Linked DNA regions of Cricetulus griseus. The protein of the gene in region 1 interacts with the protein of each later gene in a biochemical or structural test. Links are inferred from orthologs where the notes say so. Each region holds a gene or a part of one and is shown in the gene's direction. Other genes may lie near its edges.

Evidence for each region.
Region 2: the proteins of Zeb1 (region 1) and ubiquitin carboxyl-terminal hydrolase 51 form a complex in vitro, tested with the Homo sapiens proteins (2 studies listed by BioGRID). The link is inferred for Cricetulus griseus from reciprocal best matches to the Homo sapiens genes ZEB1 and USP51.

Annotation. Positions count from the first base shown.
Region 1 is NC_048596.1:208,641,057-208,644,556, reverse strand, and holds part of Zeb1 (zinc finger E-box-binding homeobox 1), read left to right. Parts: coding exon 1-890; intron 891-3,143; coding exon 3,144-3,324; intron 3,325-3,500. UniProt on the Homo sapiens protein: Acts as a transcriptional repressor. Inhibits interleukin-2 (IL-2) gene expression. Enhances or represses the promoter activity of the ATP1A1 gene depending on the quantity of cDNA and on the cell type.
Region 2 is NC_048604.1:110,911,854-110,914,250, forward strand, and holds the end of ubiquitin carboxyl-terminal hydrolase 51, read left to right. Parts: coding exon 1-397; 3' UTR 398-2,336; downstream 2,337-2,397.

The DNA of each region.
Region 1 (3,500 bases):
AGGCCTCTGCTTCGTCAGCCAGAGATGGCGATTTGTCTCCCAGTCAGCCACCTTTAAAGAACCTCCTGTCGCTCTTAAAAGCCTACTATGCTCTGAACGCGCAGCCAAACTCAGAAGAGCTCTCAAAGATTGCAGACTCTGTGAACCTACCACTGGATGTAGTTAAGAAGTGGTTTGAAAAGATGCAAGCTGGACAGATTCCAGGGCAGTCTCCTGAGCCACCTTCTCCAGAAACGAGCACAGTAAACATCCCTGCAAAGAGCAACGAACAGCCTCAACCTACAGATGGAAGTGAGCCCCAGGAAGACAGCACGAGTGGACAGAGCCCTCTCAAGATGACTAACTCCCCAGTTTTACCAGTAGGCTCAGCCATTAATGGTTCCAGAAGTTGCACATCATCCCCGTCACCTCTAAACCTTTCCTCGGCCAGGAACCTGCAGGGTTACTTTTGTGTGGCGGATGGTGCCCAGGAGGAGCCCCAAGTGGAACCTCTTGATCTCTCACTACCAAAGCAACAGGGAGAGTTACTGGAAAGGTCGACTATCAGTAGTGTTTACCAGAACAGTGTTTATTCTGTCCAGGAAGAACCCTTGAACTTGTCTTGTGTAAAAAAGGAGCCACAAGAGGACAGCTGTGTTACAGACTCAGAACCAGTTGTAAATGTAATCCCACCAAGTGCCAACCCCATAAATATTGCTATTCCTACAGTCACTGCCCAGTTACCCACCATCGTGGCCATTGCTGACCAGAACAGTGTTCCCTGCTTACGTGCACTGGCTGCCAACAAGCAGACTATTCTGATTCCCCAGGTGGCTTATACATACTCTACTACAGTCGGCCCTGCAATGCAGGAACCACCAGTGAAGGTAATCCAGCCAAATGGAAACCAGGTTAGTAAAGTACTAGCTAACTCTTTCTAGTGACGAACCCTCCATTCACTGGAGAGTCAACCAGATTGATACAACTGTCATGTTTAAAAGGAACTTAAGCAGTTGCTTTCCTTGTGTGGCAGGATGCCTTCCTTTGCTTACTAATCTGAGGTGGAGGCATCAGCTACAGTTGAAAGTGTATTTTCCTCTGAAAAATAGTGCATAGACTTCAGCTAGAGACATACCTGAGCTTAGAAGCATAAGAGAAAAGTTATACTCATTAATTAGGTGTCTGGTTTTTTAGCTGAATTCTCAAATTGGTAAGTTTTTACTTTGTTTATGATCATTAGTAAATAATCGTGTGCCCATCTGCCATAAAACACCAGGAAGACTTTACTAGTGCATTATGTACCAACACATTTGTTAAGAGGTTTTGGTTAAACAGAGTATGCTGGGAACTTAGCCCATGCATTCATGGGCTGTAAATTAAGTGTTCAGTCATAATTACTGGGGCCAGGGGCAGGCGGGAGGGGGGGGAGGTATTGCTGTGCCCCGAGTGTGCATTTGCCTCTTTAGACAGATATTGCTTTGCTTGCTTTGTTTGAGTTTTGGATAGAACTCTACTGTATGGCTGTATGTTTCTCAAAGTCTGTCCAGAATTTTTCCATGTCACCAGCCTTTATGTCACCACCTTTTCATCAGTTTTTTTTTTTTTAAATTAAATCCAACACCAGTGGTGACTGTTTGATCTTACTGCGAGTACAGCTGTAGTTACATATGTATCCTGCTCAGATGTGCCCTGTTCCCTTTGGTGACCTTTCAATACTGTACCCATGGGCTTCCCCAGAACTGTAGTAACTCTTGAAGAAAACATCCATGTGACCAATGACATTAGATTTCTGATGTATAAAAAAAAAAAAAACTAGTGTGTATGTGAGTGTGTGTGTAATGAATACTTTCGTATGTACAGGTGTGTCTAACCATGAGTGTGCATGTAGAGGCCAGAGATTGACAATGCAGTCACTCTTATTATTTTTGAGACAGGGTTTCTCACTGAACCCATTTTGTCTAGACGGGCTGGTAGCAAGTCCTCACTATCTGCTTCTCTATACACACTCACATATACTCCAGTGGTGGGATTACAAATGAGGGGCACACGTGCCTGACTTTTACATGTGTGCTATGGATCTGCACTCACCCTTATGCTTGCAGAGCAAGCATCTTCCCCCACTTAGCCATCTTCCAGCCCTTTTGACACATTAGAATTTAAAGAAAACAATTTTTACCATTTCAAATGACTGTTGAGTCAAAGAGCTGTAAAGTGGAGTCACTTCTGCACTGGCAGCCACAGTGACAGGTGCAGATAGCTGTTTTCAGGAGATCAGTGGGTTTAGAGGCAGAACTCTGGAAGACTTTAGGAAAAACACAAAGATCTTAGCTTACCTAAGTTTGCAACAGGCCCTCTGCAGGGTTATTCCAATGAGAAGAGTGCCTTCCTCCCAAATGACTTCCCTGAAACCATCTGAGATTCTGTGTCATATTTTGTTCACTTTGTGAGAATTGTAGGGCTCTTTTTGACAGGCAGCTACTACTCCTATTTAAAAATCACAGACCCTCTTATTCCAGAGAAAGTGTGGACTAAAGCAAAGCTGTCTTTGTCAGACCAAGGCAGCCAGCGCAAAAACCTCTAGAATGGAGGACACGGTTTAAAGATATTTTCTAAACAGTGTGCCTTAGTGTTTACTGTGTGAAATACAGATTTTTTTATGAAAAGTATGGTAAATGATGAAGTTGTAAATGAATAATGAACTAGCAAGCTCAGTGGTTAAAACTTTCTGCAGAATTGCTATAAAATCATAATTTTCCAGAACCAAGTAAATGTGGCTGCTATCCCTCCAGCTTTCCTTCTTCCTCTCTTTGTCTGTTTGTAGCATGAGCTAGTGCTCCCGGGAGCCCATGTGTAGTATCATTATAGTGTGTACTTCTTGTGGTCAGGGTGATGGAAGCAACCTTCCAACATGAAGTTTATCTCCTGTGCAGCATCTGATTTCCCTACATTTGTTTATTTATGGACAGTGGAGGATCTCACATGCCACCACTCACACGTGGAGGTCAGAGGACAGCTTGTGGAAGCCAGTTCTCTCCTTCCACCATGTGGATCCCATGGATCCAGCTCAGGTCATCAGCCTTGGTGGCAAGTGCCTTTACCTGCTGAGCCATGTCACTGATCCTATCTCTTAAATCTTGAAATTTAATCTTCTTTTTTTCCCTTAGGATGAAAGGCAAGACACTAGCTCAGAAGGAGTTTCCACCGTGGAGGACCAGAATGACTCTGACTCTACGCCACCCAAAAAGAAAACTCGGAAGACAGAGAATGGAATGTATGCGTGTGACCTGTGTGACAAGATATTTCAGAAGAGCAGCTCACTGCTGAGACACAAATATGAACACACGGGTATGTCAGTGGACACGAGCACAGCCAAAACCCTGAAGCAACATCTGAAGTTCTCTCAATTACCCTTTGGTTTCCACTTCTCCAGTCTTCCTACAGGAAGTAGTGTTTAAGCCACTCCTTCTGCCTTTAATGACTTCTTTCCTACCCTGACACAGCATTTGCTCTGTGCATGTTTG
Region 2 (2,397 bases), on another chromosome or scaffold:
TACCAAACAGCTCACAATGAAGAAATTGCCAATTGTGGCCTGCTTTCATCTGAAACGGTTTGAACATTTGGGCAAACAGAGACGCAAGATTAACACTTTTATCTCATTTCCTTTGGAGCTGGACATGACACCCTTTCTGGCTTCTACTAAAGAAAGCATAATGAAAGGCCAGCCATTAGCAGACTGTGTGCCCAGTGAGAATAAGTATTCTTTGTTTGCAGTGATTAACCACCACGGAACTTTGGAAAGTGGCCATTACACCAGCTTCGTACGTCAACAAAAGGACCAGTGGTTCAGCTGTGATGATGCCATCGTCACCAAGGCTACAATGGAGGAGCTACTCTATAGTGAAGGCTATTTGCTGTTCTATCACAGGCAAGATGTAGATAAAGAATAATCATACCCAGAAGGCTTTGCAGAAAATCAAAGAGCAAGGATCCTGAATCGATACACAAGCCTACCTGGAACGGACAATTGCAATGCCATCACAACAACAAGCACCTCTTAAAGAAACACAAACATCTACCTGGAGTGAACGGTGACCATAACAAGTATATAACAAGTGACACTTTGGCATAAAGGAACTGTTTTAACTTGTTCCATAGGTCTATGAGAAGAAGACATTGAACTATCAGTGGCCATTTAGCCTTAAGAATTTGGGGGAGGGGAGGAGAGGTCAAAAAGGGTCACAAAAAAGAAATTAAGGAAATCAAGGTGGAGGGAGGTGCGGATAAATTCAAATTACTATGTGCTTTTTATTTCTTTAAAGATAATTGTGTTAAGTGGGGAAGTATCTTTTAGGAAAATGGTTTTTAATTGATTGTGTAGTTCTAGTTATGAGTGCACAAATAGTCTGAAAAAACAACCAAATATTTTAAAAAGAAAAACTTTAAAGCTTTAAAAGAAAAATTGTTAAAAACGCTTTTGAAAGTTTTAAGAGAACATTTTAAATGTCAAAATTTTAAGTTAAGTATTTTAGAAGAAATATTTTTAAATGTTTTTAATTTAAAATGATCCCAAATTGTTAGTATGTGAAAATAGAGTATTTAGAAATTCTTACAATTTAAGATGAAATATGAAAATTTATATGGTAGTTATTGAAATAAACACTTTAATTTAAAAATAGCAAAAGAAATTCTTTTAGAAACTCAGTGTTTAAAGTGAAAATGCATAGATTCTAAAATTCTAAAGCATAAAATATATGCATTGGAAAACCAATATTTACAGAAGTATGCTTATAAGAGTTTTAAATTTTTCAAAATATAGAATGAAATGAAATTTTAGTCAAAATCAGATAAAGTAGTTTAAAAGAACAACGTGTAAGGTAATTTGGGGAAACAAAAAATTGGTTTTAAATATTTCAAAAAGAGAAGCAAATTTTTAAAATATTACAAGAGAACCTTATATAAATTCAACTTCAGAGATTTCAGTATAATAGCAAATTTTAAGTTTCAAAAGAATATTCACAAATTGACAACTGAAAAAAGAATATGTAAATAAGAACGTACTTGAAAGTTGAAAATTTTATTTTGTACTTAAGTATATTGAAATATAGATGGATATAAAAGTTATAAATGAAAGATAATGGTAAGACAAAAATGGTTTGTGAACATATGTATTTTTTTAGTTTTATGTCAATGCAGAGTTAACTATATTGGAAAAAAGTGATAACATCAAGATTTTTCCCATTTAGAACTCATTATTCATATACATCCTTAGCTTCTGAATGGGGCCTTTTAGTAATTTTGTGGCTTAGAGAAATTAGTTCCTAACTGTGAAGTTCTGGCTTTTGGTGTTTAAGCCCCATGATCTGACTGAGAAAGTGGCAGGGAGTTCCATGTCTGAGAAACTCCTAAACTCCCTGCTTTCAGTCTTTTGCCTCATGGGGAAGCAAGATCTTTAATTTCTGCAGTAGAACTCTGGCTTTGTGTTTTAACAGCCCTGCTAACTCCTATCCCTCTTCATGCCCATCCCATCCCCATTCCTGATTCCCTGAGTCCCTCATTTACCTAGCCTTACCTAGATCGATATAACCCCAGCCTGCAAGGATCCTTTCTTAATTATACACTTGGTGACTTCATTCCTCTAAGACCAACTCAGAGATGACTTCTCTGGAGCATTCCCTGGATCCCCTATGCAGGCATAAAGTAGATAATTGCCCCCCTTCTCTCCTATTGTGCCTCCAAAGTACTTTGTCTATACCTCGATAAATAGTACTTATTCAACTGTGATTCTACTGTAGCTTCGTGAATGTCTGCCTCTCTGCACCAGGTCCTGAGAGCAGAGGGACAAGCCTTATTCACTTTTGTGTTAATAAATGTTTGTTGAATGCAAAAGTAAGTTTCATTGTTTTCTCTGTTTACCCTGTTAAGAATATTTTTTACACACGTGTAGCAC